Linked DNA regions of Arabidopsis thaliana. The protein of the gene in region 1 interacts with the protein of each later gene in a pairwise test. Each region holds a gene or a part of one and is shown on either strand. Other genes may lie near its edges. The genes, in order: ABCG15 and ZAT.

Region 1 (16,651 bases):
AAGAAGTAGTGATGGCTCAATCTTATTGATTGATGAGGTCTGTTATCTTTTCTCTTCGTTTCCATGTCTGTCTCTCTTTGAATGCAAAGTTGAACACATATCTGCACTACTGCCAAAATCACTGATTAGAATCATCATCCACTTGTTCACATTGTTCATAGATTCATACACCCGATTCCAGCAGATACTGGCTTGCGGGTTCATATGAAGAGCGCTTCCAAAAAGGCCTGGAGCCTGAAAATGTTGATAAGGTTAGTGATTTTGCCTGTTTTTGCTCTCAGTCAGGTTTCATTGGTTTGCAGTACTTTGTTCACTCACATGTTCTCGTTTTTTTAATCCAAATAGGAGTTCCTAAGATTGTGGTTCAAAGAGAACTGCAATCCGTATGAGGACGAGGTATGCTTACATCTTCACAATGTAATTTCCATTTTTCCTGCTCTATCTGAGAACCCCTGCTAAAATTCGTGGTGTCTCGAACGTCGGTTTTTGTCAGGTCCTGCCTGCTGCTCCAGCAGAACTCGTGACTGAATTAGCTTGGCGGTAATGTATTTTGATCTGTAAACTTTATAATAGGATTGTTCTAGTTCATGTTTTCGATATGGAAAGAAACATTGTGTGTACATGCTTTAAGGCTCTGTGAGATCAGAGATTCGCTGGTCTACGTTAGTTTTCGCTATAGTCTTGGTATTGAAAACTGATGCAAGAAACCGTGATGGCAGGTACATTTTCTTGTATGAAACTATCACTGGATCAAGAATTGACATTATTCCGACTCAGGTATGATCCTGATCAAGCCCAAAATATCTACTTTATCACCCTCAGTTTATCGGAGTTTCAAGTGTATTGAACTCTAGCTTTGTTGACAGGAACCAATACATGACCGAATCTCAAGGAACACAAGCCAAGCACTTTCATCTCTCCGTCAACTTTGATCTTTAATGTAACCTTTAGCCAAGGATGCAGAGAGCATAAGTCTGTTTCTTTTTGCATTCATATGTGTTCTATTGTTGTCTTCATGGATTATGAATCAAAGACAACTTAAGTTCTAATTGAGCAACAAACGAATAAACATGAAAAAAACTAATTGACACAGGCTTGGTGAATTAGAATATATAGTTGATCAGATGAGAAAGGATCAGTTTTGCTTTTGATCTCCCATGTCTATAAACAAGATAGTCTCACTGAAGACGAGCCAAAAAAAAAAGACATTCATCTATATTGACAACTGAAGTAGCCTTGTCCCAAACCAGGGCTTGTGACCCGGTAAAAAGGTAAAACAATCATCGATGAACAGACGAAAAACTTAAAACTTGAAGGTTTCAGTCACTGTATTGTTCTGCCTATCAATGCTTTTGTCGAGGTTAGTACTTAGCTGTAATTTCTATTGCATATTGGCATTCCACAACTGCCTTTTTCGAGATATGTAAAATCCTAACTGGTCTCCCTACCCTTCTTTCTGTTCCATGTTATATAACCGGCTTTAGCTTCTACATATAGACAAAATTCTTCTACTTCCTGCTTTTATCAGTCTCTACTTTTCTGCAACCAAAGAAACTAAAACCATGGTCAACACTTAATAACCCAATAACCTTTAAGAGGGTCTTCAAGTTTCAGTCTGGCTTAAAGTGCCTACCTTTTCACGCTTTCTCTCTGCTTCTATCGAACCTGGAAAGTTCCAGGAAGAGGTATTAACAAGTGTTAACGATTGTTATGTGATGATGTGATTGAATTAAGGGGAAGTTTCCACCTACCAATTGCTAGGCTGATTGAAGTGACGAGGCTGCCTTATTTTCTGTAGTAACAGAGATAGTAGCACAATTCTCTTTCTCAAACTCGGGGTGTTGGGTTTCACCTGTCTTTGATGGGGAAGCAAAGAAGCTATCAGGCAGAGTATTCTCCAGACTTGTCTCTTGCCTTGAGCAATAATAAAAGAAGCACAGATAAGAGTGGATGTGTAACCATATAAAAAATACTTAAAGCCCTGAAAATGATCAGAAACTAATTCTTATCATATTAGCCATACCCTTTGTTAAGATGGCTATTGTAACCACGTTCTTGGCTGATGTTATGACCAGTATCACTCAGAAAAGCTCGGGTTGCTTCAGACTGATGTCCTGAATCACCATTACCTGCTAAGAGGTAACACGGAAGAGGGCAAAAGTAAATAAAAGCTATATAAAGTCAAAGTTCGATGTAGGCAAGATAGACTTGATCACCATTACCTTCGAAGACTTCATCACTGGTGCTTTCTGATCGAAAGAGCATGCTTTGATTGACACGAGGGGAAAAATGGACGGGGGATCCAATGGAAAGACTACGCTGGTGATGGAGAAACGATTCACTGTCCATGTCGGGCAACTGCAGACTCAAAAATCTTCTCCTTTGGAATTCTATTGCTTGTTGCAGGTCAGCTTGCTCAGCTTTTCTCCTCATCATCTCCTGTGTGTTAGAAAACATCCTTGGTGCTGGTAGCAAACAAAACAAGACTGGTCTCAGAACCCATAACAAAAAAATCGAAAGAAGAGGTTGAGCTCTGATGAAACCATATCCACAAGGGGAATCAAGCATAGGAAATAAATTCAACTAACCGAGATGAGAATCAAAGAGATCCCTGGAATCCATTCCAGATGGACTTGAACCAGGAGAAAAGTTTCCTCTCTCCATCTGCTGCAGCAGTTGTTGCTGCTGCCTCCTGCTATGGTTCAATAAGGATTATTATAAGAAAAAGGGAACACAAAAAGAGAAGAAGAATATGGGAAGGAGAGACAAGGCATGAGCAGTGGTTTCAACATACTTTTCAAGGATTCTTCCCTTCTCCTTGTACGGTTTAACAAGCACACGTGAGTCACAGATGAAATGAGGATTTCCTCTGGCCAATATGATTCTCACAGTTTCAGAGTGGAGAAAAGTGACAAACCCAAACATCCGTTTCTGCTGGTATGGAATCCTAACATCTTGCACTGGTCCAAAATTGCTACAAGAAAACAACAAACATAATCAGTCTACAATAACAGAGCCAGGCAAACATTAGTAGACATCCACCAAACTTTTAATGATGCAAACAAACACATAACAGCTTTGATACAATTGTAAAAGATTACCCAAAATAATTGGAGACATCTTCATCTGTGAAGGAGCTGTCAGCTGGAAATGTCAAGTAAATCTGTTTAGATGCAGAGTTAGATTTATCTCCCATCCCCATAAACTCATCCCTTTCATGCCGGCCTGGACTACCAAACCAGTAACCCTCTTCCCCAAATTGTCCTGCTCCTGATCTGCAAAAACAAAACACCACCGGAAACAGAAAACTATGAATTCACATATCATAGACACGAAGATATCTTCAATCATACTTCAAACATAAGATTGACTAAAGAGCCGTAAGCAATAAAAAAAAACAAAAAACAATCATTGGTATGTAAATGAATACCAAAAGTAGTAAAACCATACGAAAACGACTTCGAGAAGCAATAATTGACATCTCAGACCAAAACAAATCTCAAAGATACAAACTTTTCCATGATTCACTGCAACCAACACATTTCTTTTGTAAAATCTGAAAACTTTACCAACCAAAAACACATTCTAAGGCAAAAAAAAGGAGCTTCATTTCATAATTACCTATGCGCATTACGCTGATGCAAGAGAAAATTGAGGCCTTTCTCATACGACATTGGAGAACCAGTAGCCGCCAAGTACTGAGCAGCAGCCATTCGCTGTCTCTGAGCCATCTTCATCCTCACAATCTCCTCTTGCTGTCTAGAAACATAATCCGGCGAGCCAAAACCACCAGGAGAATCAAAATCATCACCTAAACCACCGTGAAGGAACCTGTTGTAACCCCCGCCACCAAATCCGGGCTCCTCTGACCCAAAACAAGCATCACTGGCTGAGAAACTCCTCTTATGCAAATGGGCATCGCCGTTATCAGCCGAGAACCCAAACGGATCCAGAGATTCGTCGTTATTCTTCGAAGAAGATTCGTTAAGAAACGACAAGTAGTTCCCTAGTTGCTGCTCATCGAGGAAATCGCCGTTTCCAGTGGAATCACCAGCAGCAGCACCGTCAGAAGCAAAAAGAGACGAACTTGCTTGAAACGGACTCGAAATCATGTTAGGGTTACTTCCGAGTGAACCAGGAGTAGCAAAAGAAGGAGACAAAGGGTTCCTCGAAAACCCATTTCCCGGTGAAGAGTGAGAGAGAGAATGACGGTGGATGTTAATGGGTCTGGAGATAGGGTTCAATGGCGAAGAAGCAGAAGAAGATCCATTAGAAGAAAGACCTAAAGCAGATTTAGCTTTGAGACAAACGGACTGCAAGAGAGTCTCTGGTCCAAGAGCCAAACGCATCAAATCTGTCTTACCCAAGTCCTGTAAAAGCAAGTAACCAATGATTTTGGAAGCGAAATCTGGTTCTAAAGTTCTGATCTTTGTGAAAAGTATCGAAGTAGGATCTCCTGGATCCATGGTCACAGTAAATTTCTTTTCTTTTTTTGCTTTGGTTTCTCTATCAGAGAGATTGAGAAGAAGAAGAAGAGGCTCTTTTGTTTTGTGAGAGAGTAGTGGGTACTAACTTGGGTTTTTTTGTAGCGTTAAATGTGATGTTTTTTTTTAGGAGATTTGAGACTATGATTTTGTCTTCTAATGAACCATTTTATTAAAGCAAAAAAAAAACTACTTTCGTAATGTGGTCTTTTTTTTCGGGTTCTGTTGTTGTGATATTGGGTTTAGGGTTTTTTTTTTGAAGTTTGTCCAAGACTAGGAGCGGGATTATAGTTAAAAATCGAATTTTTTTTGCTAAAAAGATAAATTAGTCTTTAAGATTTTGTTTAACAATAGTATATTTTTCTTCTCCCTTGACCAACCTAGGGTGTTTATATACACATCCCATTGGATGCAACATTTTTGGTTTAGAAAACTTTAACTCTTAATTTCTTAGTCAACTAGTTGGATTTGATTCTATGGGAAGTATGTTATTATTCATTCATATACCTTAATTATTTTTACTAAAAATTATGTGTTATTGACTTTTTTTTATATATATATAAATCTTTCTTAATTTAATTAAATATACACGTTACAAAATTACTGATATATAAAGTTTAATTAAAATTCAATCTATGTGTTATTTGAACAATTTAGTTTAATAAGAAGATATCTTCTACAAATAACTTAGATTTAATTAATTTTGTAATTTAAAATATTAATTAGCTAGCGATCTAAAAGTATTAAAACAAAAATAAATTCTGAAACACAACTTTCCAAGAATATTTGATATTTATGCGCTTGCGAGTTATTCGGATTTGGTTTTATATGTGTAACCTATGTATAGATGCCGAATGCGCATTAGTTTTCGGAGTAGTCAAAAGTTGATTCTACGTTGATTTCACGTGTCTCCCTTTTATTGTCGAAATATGACAACGAGAAAATTACCCTAGCAATCGTACTTTTGTCGTCTATAACATAATTTAAAATTACTAATTTAGGGATTACAAGTTATTTATTATGAATCGATTAAAATTGATTAAATTTTGTGTTATGAGATCACTACTTTATAAAGTTCAATCAAACTTCTACTTTTGTTTTAAAAAATTAGTTTAATAAAAAGATATGTCATTCAAAGGTCTTAGATTTAATGTATTTCATAGCTATAATCCAATCCATGCATGGTATACAAAAGAAATACTCCTCAATTTTGTTTATTCCCATGTGTCCAAGTCCAAGATGCATATTTGGTTGAGAAGGTGTGAAAAAAGTACATGAAAGAGATTGCCAAAGATATTATTATTGATCACGACCACTATATAAAACTAAGCAAAAATCTTGTGTTTTGAATTTTAAAGAACATAGAATTGACTGTGATATATTCGGTGTAACAACCATGTAACTAGAAGAAATTACTATAAATTAGTATTCTTGTTTGGAAAACAAAACCAAACAAATTTTAACCTCTTTAACTTTTTTCCGTTTTTACCGCAAAAAAAACTGAAACCGTGCCTCGATACGAGCGCTTACTTTGCCCTGACTCACTAAAACCCGCGCGTGACATAAATTTTTCATCAGTTGGCAAATTCCACTACGACGAGTGCACCGAATCTTGAATACTCTCGTCTGATCTCAACCGTCAAAAACTGTAGCAGCAGTTATGTCAACTGCGAAGATTGCTTTACGGGGACACGTGAGGTTCTCAATGGTCATAGTCAATTTGACCAGAGTTCGTATTATTTTTTGGCAGAACCATGCATCAGACAATAATGAAACAAAAAGTAAATGCTCTTCATGGAAAACGAGAATTATCAATTTGCCAAAAAATAAACAAATTTTCGTTATTTTTTATGTGGTTTTTTAATTTGACTAAATAAGATTTTAAAAACTGTATTAAAACTTTTCCGGAAATGGATAAAACAATGATGACTATCAAGGACTAGTATCTAACATTTTAAAATTAAAAATGGGGCAATAAGTTTTAGTATCCTAGGTGTATGAGTAGGTGTCACATCATGAATGCCAGAAAAAAAGAAGAAAACAAATCATGTTGCACACTTTTGTTCTTTTGGGCAAGTCTGGTCACTCTAATCTGTAAGCTGTTTTCCAATCCGTGTAATCTAAAACGAATTGTTTCTTCCGAGATTAAAGATAGAAATCTGCATGTCAATAAAAGAAGCCCATTTAGGCCCAAGTAAAGCATATATCACATTTCCGAAGAAGAGAACCCGGAGAATAAGTAAAAATGCCCACCGGCGGCCCAACTATGTAATTTACTTCCACGTTTATTTGCTTGCCATGTGTTTGGTGATTCTTTACGTTGTTGGTTGCATTTTAACCTAGAAGAAGTGATTGTCATAAAACTTTTCCTGCAATGGTTTTTAAGATTTTTCAGATCTCACACATTTGGAAGGAAAGTGACTAAATGATCACTAACTCATCGCTAAAATATCTCATATCGAAAAAGAAAAGAAATATTAAATGGCTTTATAACTAGAGTTCAAAGAACAGCTTCTGCCCACAAGCGGGTTTTTGAATATGATGAGTTCTAGCCATTGGACTTTTGATGTGTTGGTACGACCAAATCTATACATAATCTTTGCTTTAGAAACGTTAAGACTTTCAATCATTCTAAGCTAAGAATAGATATCAGCATTTAAAACCAAGTAATTGGTACATTGAATCAAATTATATTTTCTTACAACAACATAAAAATGTTATATGTATAGAGCATTATTACATCATATATAGCTTAATAGGTGTTGACAAATACATCATTCCAATCAATGATAGGTTTCATTTTTGTAAGTTAGGTGGCTTTCGTGGTCTATGAGACTGTGACCATATATATACGTTATATCGTTATTCAATCTCTGTTTTTTTTTCTTCTATGTATATTATTTACCCTCTCGGTTTAAATTTATTCCATACTACTTATAATATCACATTTTATTGTAACGTCATTTATGTTGTATGGGTTCTTATTACTTCTTAATTCTTATCTTTGTTGGAAGGTTTTCACTTCATTCATTCTTTTATCAACGTTACGTTATCACTTCATATTTTAAAATTCCCTGTCATATATCATATGATAAATAAAGTTATGCCATAACAAAGTTAGAGCATAATAAATGGAGAAGCATACTATTATAAAGCAAGAATGAATGTGTAACCGTAGATAAGCATATGGGCTTCAACTACGATCTCGCATTTAATTTAAGACCCGTGACTCTCTGTTTGATTTTTTTTCGTTTGTCATCTGAAATTTTCCTTAACAATCTTGAAAAATACGTTTTTGAAATAAAAAGCCGGTGAAAACAAAGACATCACCGGGTCTAAAACCCTAAACCAAAAAAACATCAAAACAGCAAAAACACCTACTACAAACAAGCCAAAGCAGCTTACCCGAAACAAATTCTATAAGGCACAAGCAATGATTCCAAAGCAGCTCATGTCTGTTGCAGAATCCAAGCTGCTCATTTTCTTAATTAAATGAAAAATGAAACATTTCTTTACTTTTTTTGTATAAAGCTGCATCATTTTCGCGTTTAAAAACATGTCAGATTTCGTAGACTTGCTTCAATTTTAGTGGCTAATCAACTCACTTAACTGATTTTTATTTTTATTTTGAAAAAGAGGTTTAACTCAGTTAACTGATTTAATATTTGAGGATGCAGACTGCAGAGGTTCTCTTATTTTGCTATGAGAGTTTAGAGTTTTTGTCCGACGATTACAAAATTTAATGTCACAATTAGTTGCAAAACTAATTTCAAAATGTAATCTCAATCTACACGACTATATGAATAGGATCTACATATACGACTATTACATACCCATCATAAGCCAATAAAAGCGCATTGTACGTATATTAATACGCGTGCCATCGATCTATCTCCATCTCTATACGCATTTACTATTGAGAAAAATACTAATATTATATCGTAGATAACTAGCATTGACATTTTACTCCTCAAAATTGTAGATATACATGCGCACTTGTAAATGTTGCCGTATTAAAGACAGTCCATTAATGAATTTAGTTGTTTGGTGATTGCAAAAGCTTATAAATCCTTTTTTATTGTTTTGTTTCTTCTGTTCCTTCTTACTATTCACTCTCCGACCAACGAAAAAGAAACAAACAAAACATTAAAATCTCTCTTTCTCTCTATAGCATTGTTATAGCTAGTTAGAGAGACAAAACTAAAAACAAATGGAACTGGAGGGCTCGAGTAGTGGCCGGAGGCAGCTGCCGTCAAAGTTGGAGATGAGCCGTGGAGCGTATTTGGCGTGGGAAGACTTGACGGTGGTAATACCCAATTTCAGTGATGGTCCAACCAGAAGGTTGCTCCAAAGGCTAAACGGTTATGCAGAACCGGGTCGGATCATGGCTATAATGGGTCCTTCCGGATCCGGAAAGTCCACTCTTCTTGACTCTCTTGCAGGTTCGTTCTTGCAGTTATATGATTTAACTGCTGCAGCCTGCATGCATAACACATATCTTGGTTTGATAATATTATTTGTAACTATGTTTTAGATCATCTTTAACCTGCTAGTTAAAGTTATAACTTATAAAGCCCTTTGTTTTGTTTTTTTCTAGTTGTTACGATCATCCTTATGATATATATACTGGAAAGTTTGATTATTGAATAGTATCTATAATTCTATATGTATTGTTACTTCGGGTGCATTGCATGCAAGGAATGGCAGAAAAGTACTGCAGAAAATTTCCTCATAAATGCAAAATTGATTTCTGGAGCTGCCTTTTCTGATATTTGTCTTCATTTCCACATCCCAATACAAACAGAAAGCAATTTTATACTACTGTTTTTTTTTTCACATCATAGATAAAATTTGTAATCGATTAATAAAATAAAGTTTCCCGAATTATCCACAGGTAGACTCGCAAGAAACGTGGTCATGACCGGTAATCTTCTACTGAACGGCAAGAAAGCTAGATTAGACTACGGTCTCGTAGTAAGTTTCCTCGTTAATATTTCTACCCACAATTTCACAACATGCAGCTAATTTGTTAGTTCAATATATAATAGTAACGTCCTTGTGGCTTGTCACTTGTGGTGGCGAAACATTATCAATTTTCATTTATGGCAACAAATTTTAGACAGCTCCGTCCTAAGTACATAGTGGTGCAAAGGTCAAAGATCTATACATTATTTTCTTATAAATGTGTGATAATATTGGCACATTAAAAATATATTTATAGCCCATGTATGTATAACAATAAAACATTACATTCAAAATAACAAAAACCTAAAGTTTTTATGACTAGGTATTTACATTGATTGCTCTTGAAGTGTATGCATTTTGTGACTATATATATAGGCATATGTGACACAAGAGGACGTATTGTTGGGGACACTAACAGTGAGGGAGACAATAACATACTCAGCTCACTTGAGACTTCCAAGTGATATGTCTAAAGAGGAAGTGAGTGACATCGTGGAAGGCACAATCATGGAGCTTGGTCTTCAAGACTGTTCAGACAGAGTCATTGGAAACTGGCACGCCAGAGGAGTTAGTGGCGGTGAGAGGAAACGTGTCAGCATTGCTTTGGAGATCCTCACTCGTCCTCAAATCCTTTTTCTCGACGAACCCACTAGTGGTTTGGACAGTGCTTCTGCGTTTTTCGTTATTCAGGCGCTTAGGAACATTGCACGCGATGGCAGAACCGTAATCTCCTCGGTTCATCAGCCCAGCAGCGAGGTTTTTGCGCTGTTCGATGATCTTTTCTTGCTTTCGAGTGGTGAGTCTGTCTACTTTGGTGAAGCCAAGTCTGCTGTTGAGGTAAAGCCCTACACTCTTTGTTTTCTTGCAGTACAAAAAACACACAATTTCTTTTGTTTATTTTCTTGCCTTGATAGTGAAGAAAACTCTGTTTTGCTTTTGTTTGTTTGAATGAAGTTCTTTGCAGAATCGGGTTTCCCGTGCCCGAAGAAGAGGAATCCTTCCGATCATTTTCTGCGATGTATAAACTCGGACTTTGATACAGTCACAGCTACACTCAAAGGATCTCAGAGAATTCAGGTGTGGTAGTAACCATTATCAATATCAAGAACATTGCACAAATTAAAGTCTTTTGGATACATAGTCAAGTTTTTATTGCAATTTTTCTAAGGTTAATACTTACTCTACTACAGGAAACACCAGCTACATCAGATCCTCTAATGAATCTAGCAACATCTGTGATCAAAGCAAGGCTTGTTGAGAATTACAAGCGTTCAAAGTATGCGAAATCCGCAAAATCTAGGATTCGAGAACTATCTAACATCGTAAGTTTAAACTTCTTGTTCAAGTTAACTCACAGGCTTGCTTGGATTCCATAACTGGCTTTTTTCGCAGGAAGGGCTCGAGATGGAAATAAGAAAAGGAAGTGAAGCAACCTGGTGGAAACAACTTAGGACATTAACAGCAAGATCATTCATAAACATGTGTCGTGATGTCGGTTACTATTGGACACGAATAATAAGCTACATTGTTGTTTCTATAAGCGTAGGAACCATCTTCTACGACGTTGGCTATAGCTACACATCAATCTTAGCCCGTGTTTCTTGCGGCGGATTCATCACTGGTTTCATGACTTTCATGTCCATTGGAGGCTTCCCTTCTTTCCTCGAAGAAATGAAGGTAAATAATAAAACCCTACTTATAATCTCACAAATCTTGAATTGCTCTATCGATGAAAATGCGGGTTTGCTTTGTTTCAGGTGTTCTATAAGGAGAGGCTAAGTGGATACTACGGCGTTTCGGTTTATATCCTCTCGAATTACATCTCTTCTTTCCCTTTCTTGGTTGCGATTTCGGTTATCACAGGAACTATTACTTACAACTTGGTGAAGTTTCGTCCCGGGTTCTCGCATTACGCTTTCTTCTGTCTCAACATCTTCTTCTCAGTTTCCGTGATAGAGAGTCTCATGATGGTTGTGGCTTCTGTTGTTCCAAACTTCTTGATGGGTCTTATCACTGGAGCTGGCCTCATTGTAAGAACAGAGCAACCTCTGTTTTCATTTCTACTAATAATGCTTTGAACGATCTTGAATCTGATTTCTGTTTTTGTGTTTGGAAAAGGGAATCATCATGATGACTTCTGGATTCTTCCGTCTTCTTCCTGATCTTCCCAAAATCTTTTGGCGTTACCCGGTTTCTTACATAAGCTACGGTTCTTGGGCTATCCAGGTAAGTCAAGAAACTAACTTTATGAGCTTATTACGATTCAAGAACATAAAAATAATACATTTGGGAGTGTTGCAGGGAGGGTACAAGAATGACTTTCTAGGGCTAGAGTTCGAGCCATTGTTCCCGGGTGAGCCGAAAATGACAGGAGAGGAAGTGATAGAGAAGGTCTTTGGAGTGAAGGTGACATATTCAAAATGGTGGGACTTAGCTGCGGTAGTAGCAATCCTTGTGTGTTACAGGCTTCTCTTCTTCGTGGTTCTAAAGCTGAGGGAGAGAGCAGGACCTGCTTTGAAGGCGATTCAGGCGAAAAGAACGATGAGGAATCTTGATAGGAGACCTTCTTTTAAGAGAATGCCTTCTCTGTCTCTTTCACTGTCGTCAATGTCTTCAAGGAGACACCAACCTCTCCGCTCACTTTCTTCTCAAGAAGGCCTTAACTCTCCTATCCACTACTAAAAGACTTAATATAATGTATGCATGTGTTCTGAAGCTTTCATCAAGATCTCATCTTAATCAGCTTTGTCATTGTTGAAGAAAAAGAACAAACTGATAACAAAGTTTCGTTTGATAAACCCTACCCAAATGTTCCACTATTGAAACTTTACTTCAAGGTTTATGTAACACAAGTAAGACAGTGTTGCGCACAGTGAGAGTATGGCCAAATAAAAACGAAAACCTTGTTACACCAACATGTTTGGTCCAAATAAGTATGGCGCAGAGATACCCGGATCCCATAGTCAACTTTAAATGACCAAAAGTAGTTTATTTAGGTGTAAAGGGTCAAAGAAAAAGAAAGAACATTTTCTTGAGATCCCATGAGGAAAAAAATACATTTTGGGCTCGGTCAGTCAGTAACTCAGTATATACTAAATTGGAGATATTGATACCAAAATTTTATCATGAGTAAAACTAAAATTTACAAGTACAATATTATCGTGATCATTCAAGATTTCCGACATGAAATAAGGAAACTCAAATTTAACTAAATTTTAGATGGACTAAAGAAAGACTAGGTAATTTAAATGGGGAAATGAAAAACTTATATAAGTTGATAATAGTTAAGAAAACAACATACGAAGAAATTTCGATTATTAATTTGCCATCTTTGTGTGAAATTAAGCAAAAATTGACACGTTGTCCTTTAGTCAACGAAAATGAAGCTCTCTGGAAGACCCACATGCATATATTTAGTTATCAAAATTCTCCTTATAAATTTAGTTGGAGTGTTCTAATAAAATGCATAATTTTTTTAGCCAAAATAAAAAAAATGCATAATGTTTTTAGAGCAATTATTAGGACTGTAAAACTATCCATTTAACAAAAGGAAAGTAAAACACAAACAAATATGAAACATGTCCATATACTCATAAGATAGTATCTAAAAGTTAAGTTTTTTTTTATATAAGATCTTTGTTCGTCCAATACATTGGAGGACTTGATATGGATCGACACAGAGAGAACAGGACCGTTTAACCAAAGACAAAATTGGCAAAATAGTCTTCAAAAGGTATGTTTTGGTTGACTCTGACTCTCTTCCCATTAATTTCCCAAATACATTTTCTTGTGCCCGAATTAAAGTCGATAGTTATTAAATTAGTCTCTACGTAAAAGACAATAGTAGTAGAGTCAGTTTCTACGAAAGAGGAATTCACAATCACATCCAATCAAAAAGTACTAGTGTTAATCATAAATTCGATACTGATCACCATTTAAACATTCTAACATGATTGCAAGAAGACTTTAGTCGTTCGAAAGAAAAAAAAAAGCATACTAAAAGCATAACTATAAACCTCAATAAAGTAAAGTAAATACGTAGGCAAAAGAAAATACAAAAATAAAGGCAACTTGGTTGAATTATTGCCATGAAAGAGGACGAAGACGTGCTAGTCAAGTGTCAAGGCCTCTTGTTCATTAAGGGCCAAGGGTTTCGACCCCAATTTTCTTAGATAAACTATGCCTATGGAGAATTGCTGAAGTCCTCAAAAGCTGCTACGCGTTGTTGGGGACCCAACTTATATCTGTAAATGCCCAAGTAATTAACGGTGTAATTACACGACTATCTTTGGCTTTGAGTATATATATCTTTGTTTTAATGAACTTTAATCTCTCTCTCGATATATCATCTTCGGTCATAGAACTCAATGGCGACACACGACTTCGATTTCACTGTAAATTAACCTCCTCCCTTTCTCTTTCTGATTCTGTTTTAGTCACTCTATTTGTTCACCTTAGCGTTCATGAATTGGCTTATGCGTTCATCTTCAGTTAAAGATTTAGAGTAGATTCCTCTTCTTCTTCTTTTTTACTTCCTCTTGAGCTAGTGGTACTGGTAGTTATGTGTTCTGAATAGACCAATTATTTGTTCTGAATCAGAACATTTTAACTTATTGTATTTCTTGGCAGGATCCCTATGGAAATAAAGATAGAAAAAGTTTGTACTCAAACCAAGATAACTATTTCAATAATTGGTCTTCACTTACTCAATCAGAGGAAGTTGTTGAGGAGCTTTCTATTCAACAGACTAAATACGACCATCGGAGTCTGCCTTCTTTGAGAAGTAAGCTTGGATATTTGAAACAAAAGGTGTTTTCTTTGCCGTTTTGGGACTTACTCTTTGAGATTCTTGCGTATTTGTAGCTGCCGAAGCCGAGGCTGCTGAGTGGAATGAGTTGGAGAGATGGGGGAACCAAGAGTTGCAGCATAATGGCACTCGCATTAGAGGAATTATAACTTACAAATCAGGGAACTTGCCCGGTGTTTTGTCATTCTCTGTAATAGAGATTCTCATGATGGTTGTGGCTTCGTTTGTTCCAAACTTCTTGACTGGTCTTTTCACTGGAGCTGGCCTTATTGTACGAGCAGAGCGACCTCTGTTTTCTTTTTAACTAACTTCAAAGAAAGCTACTAAAGATCTTGAATAAACTGATGTCTGTTTTTATGTTTTGGAAAGGGAATCATCATGACGTCTTCTGGATTCTCCCGTCTTCTTCCTGATCTTCCCAAAATCTTTTGCCGTTTCTCGATTTCCTACACGATTTCTTACATGATTTTTGGATCTTGGGCCATCAAGGTAAGTCAATAGCTTGACTTTATGAGCTTATCACTCGCAAGAACTATTCAAGAACATAAAATAATGTTTTCTAGCTATCAAAAAAAGATTGAATCTTAGAGGTTGTTAAACATAAGAACATTGGTGTTATTATTAATACAGCTAGGGCACAACAACAATTTTCTCGGGCCTCTATCACCGGACGAGCCGAAAATGACAGGAGAAGAAATGAATATGAATGAATTTGGAGTAAAGGTGACGCATTCAGGATGGTGGGGCTTCCCTGAGATTGTGATAGCAATCCTTGTGTGTACCTGGCTTCTTTTCTTCGTGGCCCAAAAGCTGAAGGAGAGAGCACGACCAGCTTCAAGGGTGATTCAGGCGAAAGTTTATTTTAATGTGCAGCTTTCATAATATCAGCATTATCATCTATGAGATCTGGTTATCTATTTAAGATCAGCATTGTCATTGTTGGAATAAGTTTTCTTTACCAAACTCTAAACCCAAATGTTCCACTATTGAAACTTTTTTTTGTTTTTCCTCCTGTTTTTTAGCAACAAAATGTAGGGATATCTGTTTTTTTCTTGTGATGACTGTGAATAAAGAAGAAAAGAGATTTGTACTCAATCTTACTTTGATTGATACACCAACTCAATATTACAATTGATTCTAGAGACTCATACTTATAGAAGCAAAAGAACATTCTGGATCTTTGTAGCAACATTGGATCTGTTTACAAGTGTCGACCATCTAGCCACTGTCTTCTGAGATGATAGGACTGAAACGGTTTGAGAGTACAACCGGCGAAGAAGTAGCTGCTCTGTTTCTTTCCTTTTGTGTGTATGTCTTCTTTTGTTGCAGAGGTTGCAGAGGGGAGCTCTGTAACTTTGTCCCGTTGTGAGATTGGGGAAGAGTTTGGGCTTCCTGTTGTTGGGCCTGAGGCTTTACACTTACAATGACGTCAAAATTATTTAGCAACAAAAAATTACATAATGGGAGAGATTAACAGTGTATTAGTGCATATGATTCTAAAAGAAGGAAAACTTAAATAAAAAATCGAAATTGAAGATAAAGAATTGAAAATTACTTTGGGGGGAAAAACAAAGAATTGAAAATAGCTTGAGGCCGATAGAGATTAAGTACTGATTTGGAACCAGAGTCCAGAGCTCCATGCAACACGAGGAAGCTTTCGACAATTCTGGACGACAAAATCTGGACGACAAAGCTCCGGTAGGATCAGGTTGTGGCATATCTTTCACTGCAGACGAGATGATATTGAAACGTGTTGGAATTGAGAATCGTAGTTTAAATCCTACAAGAAGAAAAGCATCATGAGAAGAAGAAGAAGAGAAGAATAGAGAAGAAGCTTCAAGCGTAAGAAGGAGCAAAAGGAAGAAGAAGATGTCGTGACAAGAAGGTCAACGACACATGAAGAGGAAGGAACAGTCAACTAAAGAGAGTGGGCTTGCTTTGTTATGTTGTGTTTTGTGATAATGGGCCAAACGGATTATTAGGGCCCAAGTAGGTAATTATGTTGTGTCCTAGACTAAGGTTGATGTTAAGTGTCTAAAAGGAGCAAAACATGGAGTTACAGTCTCAAGTGTAGTAGAGTGGCTGATGTGATTTCTAGGTCTAGGGGTGTGGTCTAATGCATTAGTAATTAAGTGCAAGTGTGTCTTGTATGTGGTATAAATACCTGTGTGTTGTAAGAGCTAAAAGAAAATCCAATTAATATTATCAATGTAGAAGATTAAAGTAATTAAATGTGTTCTTGTTTTCTCTCTAGAACAAGTGAACACAAACGATAAAAAGAGTGTGAATTATAGAGAAAAACTGAGATTTACAACAAAACGTCATGCTTATGTGACACAACTACACAATAAACAAAATTGTTAGTATTTCTGCAGCTGTTAGCTAATCAGCTTTG
Region 2 (16,651 bases), on another chromosome or scaffold:
CTCTTCTATAGCCCCATTGTCGTGGGTTCCCACTAGCAGCTTTCTTGTCTTCCTCCATTTTCTTTTCCTTCATTCTACTAAAACAGAGGTTTTTGCCTCTTCCTCTCTTGTTTCACTCTTTAGGGTACACACAAATTCACTCTTTTTTCTTCTTTGTTTGGGAGGGGAAAAGTTACAGTTTTTTCCTCTGTTTTGGATCAAAATTTCGTTTTTTTGGTTGTGTTAAGAAAGCAACAGAGAGAGAGAGAAAGATTGAAACTTTGGATGTGAATTTAGGGTTTTGTGAATTGGGGAAAAAGCAATCCAGAGATGGCTCAACAGAGACAATTTCAGATGGAAGGTGGTAATAATAATACAACAGATACCAAGTTGACGAAAATCTTTGTTGGAGGATTAGCTTGGGAGACTCAGAGAGATACAATGAGACGTTACTTTGAACAGTTTGGTGAAATCGTTGAAGCTGTTGTCATTACTGATAAGAACACTGGAAGATCTAAAGGATATGGATTTGTATGTTCCTTCTTCTCTCTCTCTTTTTCGTTTCTTTGATGATAAAGTTTCTCTTTTTCTCTGAAAAAATCAGTTTTTTTATTTGATTAGGTCACGTTTAAGGAAGCTGAAGCAGCGATGAGAGCTTGTCAGAACATGAATCCTGTGATTGATGGAAGAAGAGCTAATTGCAATCTTGCTTGTCTTGGTGCTCAAAAACCTCGTCCTCCTACTTCTCCTCGACATGGTTTGAATCTCTCTCTCTCTCTCCTCTCTTAATTCCAATGGGAACTAGCTTTAGGGTGATTGGAAAAATCTGATCTTTTTACTTGATCAACACGTGAAGAAGTCAAGAGTGTTGTTTTACGATTCTTGGTGGAAACTTGATTTCCAGGAACAGGTAGATTCAGATCACCAGGATCAGGAGTTGGATTAGTTGCTCCTTCTCCTCAGTTTCGAGGCTCTTCTTCTTCCTCTGCTTTTGTTCATCAACAACAACAACAACACACTGCTCAATTCCCATTTCCTTACTCTACTTACGGGTAAGAATACATAATCATCACATTAAATAACAATCCATTCTGATTAGTGTGCGTGTGTGTGTGTAAGCAAAACTTAAAATGCTTGTGTTTTCTTCTTCTGCAGGTTTTCTGGTTATTCTCAAGAGGGAATGTACCCAATGGTAAGTTCATTTTATAAATTTGTAGAGTCGTTTCCATTTCACTGATAAATCTTTGAAGTTCTTATGTTTGTGTTTTTTGTTTGTTTGCAGAACTACTACAATCATCATCTCTATGGAGGACAACAGTTTTCACCATATATGGGACATCCATCAGCAGGATCAACAGGAATGTTCCATGGTTTTTATCCCTACTATCCTCAATACAATGCAGCACAAAGTAGCAATCAAGCTCAAGCTCAAGTTCAAGCTCAACATCACCAAGGTTTCAGCTTTCAATACACTGCTCCTCCTGCTCCTCCTCTGCTGCAATATCCTTACTTGCCTCACCAGCCACACTTCAGTTCTCAGCAGCAATTTAGCTCTCAGCAACCTCCTCCTCCAATCCTCTCCCTCCCAACCTCTCTGGCTCTATCTTTACCTTCATCATCATCACCGTCCTCTTCAACTTCCACCTCAGGTTTGATTTCACAACACAATCTACATTGAAAACCATTTGTCACATTGTTTTGAATCATGCTTGATTCTTTGTTTTGTTTTGTATTAGCTGCAACAACAGCAACAAAAACAGTAGTTATAACTACAGCAACAAAGAAAGCAGAAACTGAAGCTAGCAGCAAAGATGGTAATGAAGCAATGACAACATCAACCATCAAGATAGAGGGTTGATTCAGAACTACTACAATAGCCAGAAGAAGGGACAAACTTCATTGTACACTAACTCATCATCAAATCTCTCCAACAACGTTCTAGAAACATTCATTCATCCATCGTTTTTAGGATTCTAGAATCTTAATTAGTACTTAGGAGGAGGAAGAAGAAGAAGAAACCATCATCACATTCTTTCTTTTTTTTTGTTGTTGTTTCAAATTGCATTTTAGGTAAAAGAATCAAGAGAAAGCATTGGTGGCTTTCTTTTAGATTCTTAAGAAAACTTGGATTGGTGCAGAAAGCATCATCAGATTATTACATTCATTTGGGGAATTTTATTTTTCAGGTTCAAAAGAAATGTTTTATGTCTTCTTTTGAACCTAAACAGGATTTTTAAGCTTCGGATAAGCTTAAAATCATTTCTTTTACATTTGTAATTCTTGAAATTGTTATAATTCAATCACATTGCTTCTTCTTACTATATTTGTTCGTTTATTATGATTATAAAATGTTTGATCAACCAAGAATCCGTTCATCGATCACTTTCACCTGGAGTTTTCTCGTGTTTTATAATCATAAAAAGATTGAACCTTTTTGATAATTATTTTGAATTCGTATGATCATTTTCTGAGAGTAAAATGATTATTGTCTTTGGATTCCAAAGGGGATCTTATGAAGACAAAAGTACCGGTCAAAAGACCGTTGGAATCAAACGGATCTTTTTCTTCGTCAATGGATAATATTTCACTTCTACTATTCTTTTAACAATTTTATAATAAAAACCAAACAAACAAAACATAGAGAATACATAAGTTATGGGCTTTTGAAAATCTAAGGCTTAAATTCTTATAAAGCCCATTAATTTTTATATGTGTAAGTAAGTTGGCCATAGAAAGCTTAAAGCCTTAGATATGTAAACACGCAAGAATATGGTAAGTTGTTTATTACGCACTGTCCACATCATAGATCGATAGATATTCTTTCCACGCAAAGCAAAGTTTTATTAAGATGGTTCTAGAATTCCTTCTTATCCACAGAAAATTTTTATATTCAAGAAAATCCAATTTTTCATTTGGAGTCGAAATTTACGCGGCCACTAACGAAATTTGATTTAATTAAAACTAGTGGGCATTTAATATTTGAAAATAATACTATTTGTTAAATCCCAATTGAAAATTTAATAACATTTAATATAATTAACTTTTTTGAAAAAAGGAACAAAAAAAGCCATCCAATTTGAATGATACATAGAGCAGCTGAAAAAAAAAAATCTACCTTTTAGAATTTATTAAATCCAACCAAAAATCAAACTTAGCCACACAATTACAATAGAAACCCACGTGTCATCCACATGACCACTAGATATTCAGACGAATATCTCCACTTCCGTAGAGCGATTAGGTTAATGACACGTGTTAAGGTGGACCTGCGAAGCAGAGGACCACCTCCACCGAATCAGCCGCGATACAGAGAAAATCAAAACAATGGCTCATATTAAGCCACGTCAGCTCAGTGAAGGCCCGCTTTGTTACACACCGTTAATTAGATTTCTCAAATTGTTTATTTGCTCTGAGCTTATACAACAAAGTCTTCTTCTTTCTCTGAGAAGATATTTTCGTGGTTGTGATCGAAAGATACCAAACTAAAGAGTTTAACTTTCTTCTTCCTTCTTCTTTACTTCAACATCTGATATTTTCTCTCTCTCTTTTATTCAGTCTGAAACAATATTTCTCGGTAGATTAAGATCTAAAGCTCGTTGATCTAGATTCTTGTTTCTATTTTTGTGTGTTTTAGGCTTTGTTGGTTTTACCAAGTGTTGTGATTCAGTTTGTTTTGAGGTCTGAGTCTATGGGGGAGATTGTGGTTTTAAGTAGTGATGATGGTATGGAGACTATAAAGAACAGAGTAAAGTCATCGGAAGTTGTTCAGTGGGAGAAGTATTTGCCTAAAACTGTACTTAGGGTTTTGTTAGTTGAATCTGATTACTCAACTCGTCAAATCATCACTGCCCTTCTTCGTAAATGCTGTTACAAAGGTCGATTGGTCTTTCCTTTCATTAGCTTATGTTAAAGTTTTCATTTTTATGTTTTGATGTTTGAAATTAAACTCGGTTCATGCTTTTTGATTGAATACAGTTGTAGCTGTTTCTGATGGTTTAGCTGCGTGGGAGGTTCTAAAGGAGAAGTCACATAACATTGATCTTATACTAACAGAGCTGGATTTGCCATCTATATCTGGTTTTGCTCTGCTTGCTTTGGTAATGGAGCATGAAGCTTGCAAGAACATTCCTGTCATAAGTACGATGGTGATCCCCTAAGTCCTTTATACCTCTAAAAACGCCTCTTTGTTAGTTTTTTGGTTCTTATGCTTTTGTTGTTTGTTTGAAATGAATAGTGATGTCTTCTCAAGATTCGATAAAAATGGTGTTGAAGTGTATGCTGAGAGGTGCTGCTGATTATCTAATCAAACCAATGAGGAAAAACGAGTTGAAAAATCTATGGCAACATGTTTGGAGAAGACTGACTGTAAATTTTTTATTTCCTTTTTTGAGGTTTCCTTGTGTTGAAGTTTGAAACTTGAAAGACTTATTGTCTTTTTTGGTTATGGATCAGTTGCGTGATGATCCTACTGCTCATGCTCAAAGCTTACCAGCTTCACAGCACAACCTTGAAGATACTGATGAAACTTGTGAAGATTCCAGATATCATTCAGATCAAGGAAGTGGTGCTCAGGTATAATAAATATTACCATCTGAGTTTTACATAATATATGTTCTGGTCCTTCTGAATTGTGTTTTGTATGAGTTGTGAGATTTTCATCTTGAGATTGCATTGTATATCTCATGTTTATCTCATTTTAGTAGAAGCTAATATCGTGTACATGCTTATGCAGGCTATCAATTACAATGGTCACAATAAGCTGATGGAGAATGGCAAATCAGTGGATGAAAGAGACGAGTTTAAGGAAACTTTTGATGTGACAATGGATTTGATTGGTGGAATTGACAAGCGTCCTGATAGTATTTATAAAGACAAGAGTCGAGATGAGTGTGTTGGTCCTGAGCTTGGACTTTCTCTGAAAAGATCTTGCTCTGTAAGTTTTGAGAACCAAGATGAAAGCAAGCATCAAAAGCTTAGCCTCTCTGATGCGTCGGCCTTCTCAAGGTATGCATGTTTCCTTGCTTGAATAAAGAATGCCTCAAATCTTGTAATTAGTGTTTTTAATCAATAACTCTACTTAACTTGCAGATTTGAGGAAAGCAAGTCAGCAGAAAAAGCCGTCGTTGCTTTAGAGGAGAGTACTTCAGGTGAGCCAAAGACACCAACCGAATCACATGAAAAGTTAAGAAAAGTAACATCTGATCAAGGAAGCGCCACAACGAGCAGCAACCAGGAGAATATCGGATCATCAAGCGTAAGCTTCCGTAACCAAGTTCTTCAGTCCACAGTAACGAATCAGAAGCAAGATTCACCCATACCGGTAGAATCAAATCGCGAGAAAGCAGCTAGCAAGGAAGTAGAAGCTGGTTCTCAAAGCACCAATGAGGGGATTGCTGGACAAAGCAGTAGCACAGAGAAACCAAAGGAAGAAGAAAGTGCGAAACAACGTTGGAGTAGAAGCCAGAGAGAAGCTGCATTGATGAAGTTCCGGTTGAAGAGGAAAGATCGATGCTTTGACAAAAAGGTAAGAGACACACAAGCTTCATCATAAAAACAGCATCTGAAACAAATACAAGATCAAACTGATTCAATGGAGATGTATAAAAATGGATTACAGGTTCGGTACCAGAGCAGGAAGAAGCTAGCAGAACAACGTCCTCGAGTGAAAGGCCAGTTCGTGCGAACCGTGAATTCAGACGCGTCTACAAAATCATGAAGAGCTCTTTCAGTTTTTCCTCTGATTTCTTTTGTTGATTTTATAACAGAAACTTATTTAGCTTTTGCAATCTTTAGTGTGCTTTTTTTTTTTATGTATTTGATTGGCTTCTTCTTCTCAGCTAATATGAGATACTGGGGCAACTTTTGTATATATGTCTGCAAATGATCAGGCTAAGCTAAAACAGTAATTCCAATTTCGTTAAGTTGAGAAATATTTCTTGTTGTGATCATATCCAGGCCGCTTCTCTCTCGATACATACCAACAAGAAACAGATTCTATAAAACTTGATTTATATACCATTGCTATAGTCTATGTATTAAAACTCATCACATTAATTCTCTCACAGTCAGAGAAACAAAAAAAGGAAACAAAAGCTATCGAAAGAAAAATCAACAAAGAAATCTTTTTTTGTGACCGTTAAACTAAGATTTTGTGACCGTTAATTGTGATTATCAGTTTCCTTTTCTTTGCTTATAAATAAATAATTAGTGAGAGTCTCAACGCTTCTTCTAAAACATTCGACAAATCAAAACTCTCTATCTCTCGCTTCTTCTTATTCTTCAACCCTAGTTCTCTTCTCAAGACAATTTTGTCTTCAAAGAGGAGACTACAAAGAGGAGGATATAGCCAAGAGAGGGGAGAGCTTTATGGTGGTGGATGATGTCACGAGAGGGCTACCAAAGACCGACGGGCTCAAATCTGACTTTGGAATGGGCTTTGCTCTATGGGCCCTTTTTGCTACTAAATCCAACAAGGTATTACTTTTTTCATTCTTTTTTTTTTTGTTTTATTTACCTTCAAAATTATTTTTAAGTAAAACTAATTAGTTTCACCATAACATTTATATAACTAAAATGTTTATATATTTTCATTAGTTTAAGTGTAAAATGTTTTTACACCTATATTTTATTATAACTTTAGATTTTTTTTATATAGATAAGTGTTAAATTTTTAAATTTTGTGTAAACTAATTGGATACATCATCCAAACCCCTAGGAGGTGTGCCAGGTTCAATATATGGTTTACACATTATTTAACTTTTTAACACTTGTTTTGCTTTTATTAAAAATGTTTTTAAACTTACATATTTTCATATTACTATTAAATCTTTAAGGTATTTTTATTTGGATAAGTGTTAAATTTTTAAATTTTGTGTAATCTAATTGGATACATCATCCAAACCCCTAAGAGGTGTTCTAGGTTTAATATATAGTTTACACATTATTCAACTTTTTAACACTTGTTTTGCTTTCGTTAAAAATATTTTTAAACTTATATATTTTCATATTACTATTAAATCTTTAGGTTTTTTTTTATTTGGATAAGTGTTAAATTTTTAATTTTTGTGTAAACTAATTGGATACATCATCCAAACCCCTAAAAACTGTTCTAGATTCAATATATGGTTTACACATTATTTAACTTTTTAACACTTGTTTTGCTTTTATTAAAAATGCTTTTAAACTTATATTTTTATACTACTATTAGATCTTTAAGGTTTTAAGGTTTCATTTATAGGTTTAATATATGGTTTACATATTATTTAAGTTTTTAACACTTGTTTTTCATTTATTAAAAAATGTTTTTAGACTTATATTTTTACATTACTATTAAACCTTTAATGTTTTTTTGGGATAATTTTTTTTTTTTAATTTTGTGTAATCTAATTGAATACAAGATTCAAACATGTAGGTGGTGTTTTAGGTTTAATATGGTTTACAAATTATTTAGGTATTGAACACTTGTTTAAAAAAATAAAATTAAATCTTAGTTTAAGTGGTAAATTTTAAACACGTTGAAAACTAATTGCGCCTAAGCATCTCGTACTTAGTTGGTCCGTAAGTTTTGGTGTTCGAAGTTTGGAAAGTTTTCACGTAATTTAACACTTAAACTTTAAAAAATCAGTTCATTTAAAACTTTTTGAAAATTAGTTTAAATGGTAAATTTTAATCACGTTGAAACTAACCGCACATAGATATCTCATATTTAGTTGATCCGTAAGCTTTGGTGTTTGTAATACTTATAATTAGTTTTTGAAAAATGTTGATTGTTTTTACTAAATTTAAGAAATTAATTCACTAAAACTTTTTAAGAACTAGTTTAAGTGATAAAGTTTAAATATGTCAAAACTAACCGTACATAAACATCATATCCTTAGTTAATCTATAAAGTTTGGTATTCGAAGTTTTCACATAACTAAATTTTAAATTATGTTTTGGAATTTTTCTTCTTAGTCAATTCAATAAACCCTCAAAAGTGAAAACCCAATCATTTTGCTAAACCGCTTCTGCGAACCAATATATGAAACCGATTAAAAAAGCCACTAGATTGATTGGTTTAAATTAAAAATTTCACCGGTTTGACAAGATACCCAATCATTATACACAGGTAAAAAAAAAGCAAAAAAAAAAAAGACAGCAAAAATTACGGACCATAAAAAACGGCCACGTGTTCATCATGTTCACCGTCAACGAAAGAGATTCCGATTAAGAGAGATGTCGAAGGAGATAAGAGAGAAAGGGGACCCAAAAAAAGGGTTAGGTGGATCTCTCATGAAATCGGTGGAGCTCCCCCATATCTTTTTTAAATAGCTTTCTTCTTTTGGCCCCTTACCCAGAGATAGATTCTTATATACTACTGAGAATCTTCAATTTCTGCAACTTTTGTATCTCTTCCTGGTGAGCCCTTCTCTTCCTCTCGCCACTTTTTTAGGGTTCGGGTTTTCTTTAAAATCTGACCTTTTTGCTTGCCTCTGTTTTTATTATTCGTGTTAGGGTTTGTTGTTTTTTCACTTTCTGACTCTGCCATCTGGAATTTATCTGATTGGGACACTTTGATTCTGTTTATACAAACAGTAGTTTTATTTACTGAGGGGTCAAACTTGAATCTGTATTTTAGGGTTTTGACTCTTTGTGTTATTATATGGTGTGAAAGCGTTGACACTGTTTGTTTGCTTGACGAGTTCCTCCTTTTTGTAGCAGTAGTGGGAATGTGGTGGGATACATGTCTTTGTCCTTTGATTTGATATTTCTGGATAAATTTGCTTTCTTTTTTGTTGAAACAGATCACCAAATAAGAAAACTCTTGTGGTTCTATTGAATTGGGTTTCCACTATCTTTATTGTAGAGGTAACTTTATTTTGTGTTTGTTGGTATTGAGTTCTGTACATCCATCAGGATTTTCGTTGTTGTCTGAGCTTTCTTCTATTTTTTTTCTTATGCAGATGGAGTCTTCAAGTCCCCACCATAGTCACATTGTTGAGGTTAATGTTGGAAAATCTGATGAAGAGAGAATAATTGTGGCGAGTAAAGTCTGTGGAGAAGCACCATGTGGGTTTTCAGATTCTAAGAATGCTTCCGGGGATGCTCACGAACGCTCTGCTTCTATGCGGAAGCTTTGTATCGCCGTCGTGCTGTGTCTAGTGTTCATGAGTGTTGAAGTTGTTGGTGGGATTAAAGCCAATAGTTTAGCTATATTAACCGATGCAGCTCATTTGCTCTCTGACGTTGCTGCCTTTGCTATCTCCCTCTTCTCATTGTGGGCTGCTGGCTGGGAAGCGACTCCTAGGCAGACTTACGGGTTCTTCAGGATTGAGATTTTGGGTGCTCTTGTATCTATCCAGCTCATTTGGTTGCTCACGGGTATTCTGGTTTATGAAGCGATTATCAGAATTGTTACAGAGACCAGTGAGGTTAATGGATTCCTCATGTTTCTGGTTGCTGCCTTTGGTCTAGTGGTGAACATCATAATGGCTGTTCTGCTAGGGCATGATCATGGTCACAGTCATGGACATGGGCATGGCCACGGCCATGACCATCACAATCATAGCCATGGGGTGACTGTTACCACTCATCACCATCATCACGATCATGAACATGGCCATAGTCATGGTCATGGAGAGGACAAGCATCATGCTCATGGGGATGTTACTGAGCAATTGTTGGACAAATCGAAGACTCAAGTCGCAGCAAAAGAGAAAAGAAAGAGAAACATCAATCTCCAAGGAGCTTATCTGCATGTCCTTGGGGATTCCATCCAGAGTGTTGGTGTTATGATTGGAGGAGCTATCATTTGGTACAATCCGGAATGGAAGATAGTGGATCTGATCTGCACACTTGCCTTTTCGGTTATTGTCCTAGGAACAACCATCAACATGATTCGCAACATTCTAGAAGTATTGATGGAGAGTACACCCAGAGAGATTGACGCCACAAAGCTCGAAAAGGGTTTGCTCGAAATGGAAGAAGTGGTGGCTGTTCATGAGCTCCACATATGGGCTATCACAGTGGGAAAAGTGCTATTGGCTTGCCATGTCAATATCAGACCAGAAGCAGATGCAGATATGGTGCTCAACAAGGTAATTGATTACATCCGCAGGGAGTACAACATTAGTCATGTCACGATACAAATCGAGCGCTAAAAGCTAAGTAAGATCTGATGAAGGGTTTTTGTATCAGCATTCTCATTAACAATAAAATCAATAAAGTTTCTACATTTTTCACTTTCTCGTGTTCCTCTGCTTTGGTTTATATTGGTATAGTTATATACTTATATGTCGTCATCGTTTGGTTGAGCACAAGTAAGCACTATTCCTCTTCAAGGAAGAAACTTTTTGTCCTTGTTTCAAAAAGGGTGAAAGGACACAACTGCTTAGAACAGATACGTCATTCTTAGGTCTGCCTTCATTTAAGATTCATTATCTTCCTAGGAGTCACAGGGACTTGTGATTGTGTTAGAAACAGAATCTGACTGATTGTTAGGGGTTTAATTGATATGTCACAAGTGGACCATGTTTGTCCTGAGAGTAAGTAACCAGAGCTTTAAGTTACATCAGCAAGTACAATGTAAAGATGAAATCTTCGTAAGTCATTCTTAAAAAAACTATGTAAAAGTTGACTCTTTTTTTTACTTGGTAGGCGGTTCTGGTTCTCTTATTACACAGTAGTATGAACGAGATCTCTAGATTGCAGACAACTTAATTCGTGTTTTCTGGCAAGTTTTTGTGTTGGATCTTGTTTTGGCTGTGTTAGACTTACCACGTGAGATAAACAGAGGCCACAATTGAGAGAACATGGATAAGGTTTCTTCTTGTGAGCTTATTAAGATCGAATCTGTGTTCTTGTTTGTCAACAAAGAGGTTAAAATTTCGGATTTGATCGATAACAAAATGTACTTCTTTGGAATCCTGTAAATATTACAAAGAAGTAAAGGTTAAAAAGGGAATTTTACCGTTTATTCGATAGCTCGTAAACACAAAATCTGATGCAAAAACAAAGATATTTACAGGCAAACACTGGTTAGTACCCTTAAAGCCAAGGCATCGACAATTACATGTTTAGCAGATAAGAAGCCTCAATTCACGGGTTAACGAAATAAGAGACTTCAAAAGATTCAATTTTTATCTATTGGGTTGTAACAAAAATCAAGCTTTTCATGAAATGTAAGAACACAAAACCAATGGAAACTCTCTTCTCTTCTACTTCTTCTTCTTCATCATCATCTTCCGTGTGTTAACAGAAGTCCCCACAATTGTCTGTCTTCGCTGCGAGACAAAACTGCCACAGCCAATAATGTTTCTCTGAGGGACCTTGCTTCTGTCAGAGACTCGCTCTCTCTCTCCTCTTCTTGCTCTGCTCAGCTCTCTCACCAACTCATCTTCAGTCCTCAAACAAACATCTGTTCTCATCTTTGTTTTCTTTCCTTTCTTTCTCATATCTCATTTTCAATTTTCCCAATTTCTCTTCAACATCTTCATAGCAATTTAAGACCACTATTCCATTATAAAGCTAACTGCTTTAGAAACTCCTCACATTTATTTCTTCCCCATCATTGTTTTAGAGAGGGAGAAAGAAAAAGAGCTCAGCTTTCTGATGGAGAGGAGTATTCAAGGACAAAACAAGCTCTGTGTAATGTATCTTATCTCAATTTGGAACGTTACTAGTTTTTATCTTTCTTGTAATCTTTTCTTTCAACTATTGATTCAAAGATGTGGACTTGCATTTACTCCTTCCAAAAGAGTCCACAATGGTTGCATTCAATGCTATATGTGTTTGTTATACCAAAAACACCAACAAATCTGCTCTCAACTGTTTCCCTCTCTTTGAAACATTCCATTTTTCATTCTAATTTTGTTTCGCTAGACTGACCCACTAACCAAAACCCACACTAGTCTACCCAAATTTAATATCTCTCTTCTCAATCTCACTTTCTCTTCTTACTCACTTGGTAGGTAACTCCTTCCCCTGTTTTTTCTTTTGTTGCAGTGTTTGGACCAAAAAGTGAATGTGAGAAGAAGCCTACAAGTTCAAGAAACTGTAGAGGATCATCAAAGCTTTGCCCTTGAAGAGGAAGAACAACAACTCTCAACTCCGAGCTTGCTGCAAGACACAACAATACCATTTCTACAAATGCTGCAACAAAGTGAAGACCCTTCACCGTTTTTGTCATTCAAAGACCCAAGCTTTCTAGCACTACTATCTCTCCAGACACTTGAAAAGCCTTGGGAACTCGAAAACTACCTCCCACATGAAGTTCCAGAGTTTCATTCACCGATCCATTCTGAAACCAACCACTACTATCATAATCCATCTTTGGAAGGAGTCAATGAAGCCATCTCAAACCAAGAACTTCCATTCAACCCACTAGAGAATGCGCGTTCAAGACGCAAGCGGAAAAACAACAACTTGGCATCATTGATGACAAGAGAAAAGCGAAAGAGAAGAAGAACTAAACCAACAAAGAACATAGAAGAGATAGAGAGTCAAAGAATGACACACATTGCGGTTGAACGAAACCGCAGACGCCAAATGAACGTTCATCTGAACTCACTCCGCTCCATCATTCCATCTTCATACATCCAGAGGGTATAATAAACAAAACCCACAAATCAAAGTTCCAACCTTTATCAAATGTCGAATTTTCTTAACTAATATCTCTCGTAGGGAGACCAAGCGTCAATAGTAGGAGGAGCAATAGACTTCGTAAAGATCCTAGAGCAACAGTTGCAATCCCTTGAAGCACAAAAGAGAAGTCAACAGAGTGATGATAACAAAGAGCAAATTCCAGAAGATAACAGTCTCAGGAACATTTCGTCGAACAAGTTGCGTGCGAGTAATAAAGAAGAACAAAGTAGCAAACTCAAAATCGAAGCCACAGTGATAGAGAGTCACGTCAACCTAAAAATTCAATGTACGAGGAAACAAGGACAACTTCTCAGATCAATCATATTGCTGGAGAAACTTCGATTCACTGTTCTTCATCTCAACATCACATCTCCGACCAATACATCTGTCTCTTATTCCTTCAACCTCAAGGTACTTACTTATATAACAAAAAACCCATTATTCAAAATCATCGACAATGGTGAAAAAATTCAATCTTTTTTGTTTGTTGCTCAGATGGAAGATGAATGTAATTTGGGATCAGCGGATGAGATAACGGCGGCGATTCGTCAGATTTTCGACAGCTGATTGACTAATCCAAGTAAAAAGTAAAATAAAAAAAGAAACGTTTACTTTGGTAACTTCGTTTTCATGATTAAATTCTTTATTTGGTCGTATGTGATTGGAGTCTTCTCGGCATGGAACTTGACTTTGGTTTTAGGGTACTAGTCTCTACAGAAGCTGTGGTCCTTCTTTGGATAGATTTATAATGAAAGTTTGACCCCTCTCTCTTTTTTTATTGTCTTTTTGTTTTGCTTTTGCCTCTCTCTCGGGGTTTTGACTTTTGTATCATAAAACTAGAATATAAAAGTTTACAAATTATATTTATCTATAAAATATTTTTATTTTATACTTTACGATTGTTATTAAGTAACGTCCTCTTAAATTCGTCCCGCCAATCTGTCCCGTAAAAAAAACTCACTGATTTTATTTATGATATGTTTATGAATCATTGTCTAAATATTTTTTAATTTTGTAGTAATTAAATGCTATCTAATATCTCTGCGATTTGATGATTATAATCGAATTATTATAGTCATGTAGAAAAACAATATCAAAAATGATAATTTTGTAGTAATTAAATGATATTAAATATTTCAGAAGTTTTATTTTAGTAACTAATCGTGTAGTTAATGTGGAGAGATTTTGGGAAGATTATCAAATATTTAATTCAAAGATTTTCTTTCTAATTATCAAAAACAATTATTAAATGCCAGTGGCAGCCACTGTAAATAAATCTCAACTCTAGGATTTATTTCACAAAGTGGCTGCAAAAATGTATATATAAATATCTAATCTTTACTTAGATGGCATGGGTTTGAAAAGTTCTGAGTAACTGATAGGCCCAATGACTAAAAGCCCATATGTGTTTCTCATCATAATGGAAGGCCTACAAGTAGAAGAATTCGCTCGTGTTTATGAATTATGATCTTGATTGTAATCTTATTATCAAAAACCAACCGTAAAAGTATATGAATTGCGTATTTGTAAATTGTAATTATTATATAGTATTGAGATTGTGATTAAAAGTAATAATGAATTTGTTGAATTATTATTATAGACTATAGTATAGTAGCAAGAGTGAAATTTTGTTTTCAAGAATTGAGTCCTAATTTTATAAAAGGAGCCAAAAAACCCAATTCTATCTAATCCAATGAAAACTCCAAGATCGTCTCTACGTCCGCCACGTCAGCACTATCCTGATCGGGAAACCCAAAACGAGTGGTCGAATAGTTTCCGACTGGTAACAGAGAAAGCATCTCCACAATCCCCAAAATTCTTTCAACACTTGCTCTCCATTAATCTTTTAGATAATAAACCTAATTGTTTCTGTTTTGTTTTTGTTTCTGTGAGATTCTTCCGAGGCTTGAAGCTCAATAGCTATGGCTTCTCTTTCAGTCTCTTCCTCTTCAACCATCATCGATTCAAGAGCTCCTCCTTCTCGACTAGCCTCCGCCTCCGCCTCTTCTCCGTCGTGCATTTCACTTCCCACACTTCCGATTCAGTCTCATACCCGTGCCGCTAAAGCCACTGCTTACTGTTCGTTTTCCATAAATCTGAAGATTTTTCTTTTCACTTTTAATTTCGAGTTTAAAGTTTCAAACTTTCGAAATGGGTTTTGGTTTTTAGGTCGGAAGATTGTGAGGAACGTTGTGACGAGAGCTACTACTGAAGTTGGTGAAGCTCCTGCCACTACTACCGAAGCTGAGACTACTGAGTTACCTGAAATCGTCAAGACTGCTCAAGAAGCTGTAAATACTCTTACTTTATTTATACAATGATGATTCTACCTCTTGCTTCTGGGTTACATGTACTGAATTTGGTTGTTTGGATTGAAGTGGGAGAAAGTGGATGACAAGTACGCTATTGGTTCTCTTGCCTTTGCTGGTGTAGTGGCTCTTTGGGGTTCTGCTGGAATGATTTCGGTGAGTAGAAGAATACTACTTTCTTCTTAAAACCCTAGTGTTAAATTTCCTTTATTTGATTCCAAAATTTGTTATTGTGAAACAGGCAATCGATAGGCTTCCATTGGTTCCTGGTGTTCTTGAACTTGTAGGCATCGGTTACACAGGAGTGAGTTTCTTCTTCTCTTTGTATCACTTGAACCAAAGCTCTCATGAACCTGTTTTGAGGATATAGATGATTCATCACTTCACTTTTGGATTTAGGATTAGTTCTCTGAATTTAGAATCCGAACATCTGCAATTCATATGGAGATATGATATCAGAAATTGATTGCTGCTTCTCGCTAGTGTTTCAATCTTAAAAGACGTGTGTAGTTTGTTTCAATTGTGTGATGGACCTTATTAACATTTGGTTTTTCTATGGCAGTGGTTCACTTACAAGAACCTGGTCTTCAAACCAGACAGGTTAACCAATTCTCTCTTTAACTCTGTGTTTGGTTGCATGTAATACTGAGAATGGAAGACTCAAATTCTCGAGGAAATTGTTTGTTATCTGTTTCAGGGAGGCTTTGTTTGAGAAGGTCAAGAGCACATACAAAGACATATTAGGGAGCAGCTGAATCAAAGGAGGAAGAAGAAGAAGAAGAGCCTTTTTGAGGCCATTCATGAATTGGAATGAAGGATATCAAAAGAATCTAACACAAAGGCCACGTCCTTCCTTCAATCTTTCCTTCTTGTAACTAAATAATTTTCATCCTTTCTCTCTCTCTGTCTCTGGTCTTTTTTAGCTCAAAGTATCATCCATTTATGTCAAAGTGTTGTAAATTCCTCAAGACTATATATGAGATGTTTTGTTTCATTTTCCAAAATTTCAAACTTTGTCCCCATTTAGTCTTCTACCCTTCATGCATGGTTAGCTTAGCTTAATGCTGAACTGTTGAATAACGATATGGGCCTTATGCTAAAAGAACAAAACCTTATGGGTCTAAAAAAAATAAGCCCAATATAAAACTATGGCCCAAATAAGTTTAGGTCCATTAGAGTGTGAGAATAGCGCGTGTAGTGAACCGCACGAGAATGCGCGTTCGATTGTTGGTGAAGTAGTCGTCTAGATTCCCGGGTCCACTGATGTTTCTAGTGTATCAGACACGTGTCGACAAACTGGTGGGAGAGATTAACGATCTTAAGTAGGTCCCACTAGATCAAGATATTATAACGAATTGACCTTTTTAACCTTTCAGGTAGTCCCGGAACTCGTGGCCTAGAATACAAAGAAGGTTGTGAACAAGTTGATGTTAAGATGGACAAGAATGTAACTTGAACAAAAGCTGAATCATCTCTTCAGCCACTAGTATGTTGACATATGGCAGTTTCTTTTGTAGCCTCGAAATAAATAAATTAAAAAGTTTGAGGTTAAAGATAATTATAGTGGCTGAGATTTCTCCATTTCCGTAGCTTCTGGTCTCTTTTCTTTGTTTCATTGATCAAAAGCAAATCACTTCTTCTTCTTCTTCTTCTCGATTTCTTACTGTTTTCTTATCCAACGAAATCTGGAATTAAAAATGGAATCTTTATCGAATCCAAGCTGATTTTGTTTCTTTCATTGA

What was found.
Region 2: the proteins of ABCG15 (region 1) and ZAT interact in a protein complementation assay, tested with the Arabidopsis thaliana proteins (one large-scale study listed by BioGRID).

Annotation. Positions count from the first base shown.
Region 1 is NC_003074.8:7,386,977-7,403,627, reverse strand, and holds ABCG15 (ABC-2 type transporter family protein), read left to right. Parts: upstream 1-8,531; 5' UTR 8,532-8,694; coding exon 8,695-8,926; intron 8,927-9,378; coding exon 9,379-9,458; intron 9,459-9,824; coding exon 9,825-10,286; intron 10,287-10,403; coding exon 10,404-10,526; intron 10,527-10,639; coding exon 10,640-10,771; intron 10,772-10,841; coding exon 10,842-11,126; intron 11,127-11,206; coding exon 11,207-11,479; intron 11,480-11,567; coding exon 11,568-11,675; intron 11,676-11,750; coding exon 11,751-12,131; 3' UTR 12,132-12,342; downstream 12,343-16,651. Other genes in the region: PUR7 (purin 7), read left to right, coding at 1-37, 162-251, 346-396, 494-540, 720-777, 867-932; AT3G21100 (RNA-binding (RRM/RBD/RNP motifs) family protein), read right to left, coding at 1,758-1,914, 2,024-2,129, 2,223-2,465, 2,589-2,695, 2,795-2,974, 3,102-3,275, 3,622-4,466; AT3G21080 (ABC transporter-like protein), read left to right, coding at 13,817-13,843, 14,079-14,232, 14,313-14,527, 14,626-14,745, 14,887-15,138.
Region 2 is NC_003071.7:19,229,207-19,245,857, forward strand, and holds ZAT (zinc transporter), read left to right. Parts: upstream 1-6,167; 5' UTR 6,168-6,453; intron 6,454-7,964; exon of another isoform or gene 7,965-8,086; 5' UTR 8,087-8,826; intron 8,827-8,921; coding exon 8,922-10,118; 3' UTR 10,119-10,371; downstream 10,372-16,651. Other genes in the region: AT2G46780 (RNA-binding (RRM/RBD/RNP motifs) family protein), read left to right, coding at 310-510, 601-736, 884-1,031, 1,135-1,171, 1,262-1,628, 1,716-1,837; PRR9 (pseudo-response regulator 9), read left to right, coding at 3,668-3,854, 3,955-4,116, 4,214-4,344, 4,432-4,551, 4,712-4,983, 5,068-5,503, 5,597-5,695; AT2G46810 (basic helix-loop-helix (bHLH) DNA-binding superfamily protein), read left to right, coding at 10,488-10,559, 11,962-12,561, 12,640-13,011, 13,096-13,167; PSI-P (photosystem I P subunit), read left to right, coding at 14,523-14,679, 14,770-14,891, 14,979-15,065, 15,151-15,213, 15,472-15,509, 15,607-15,664. UniProt on the Arabidopsis thaliana protein: Mediates zinc accumulation in roots and confers resistance to zinc. Involved in sequestration of excess zinc in the cytoplasm into vacuoles to maintain zinc homeostasis. Can also transport cadmium with a low efficiency.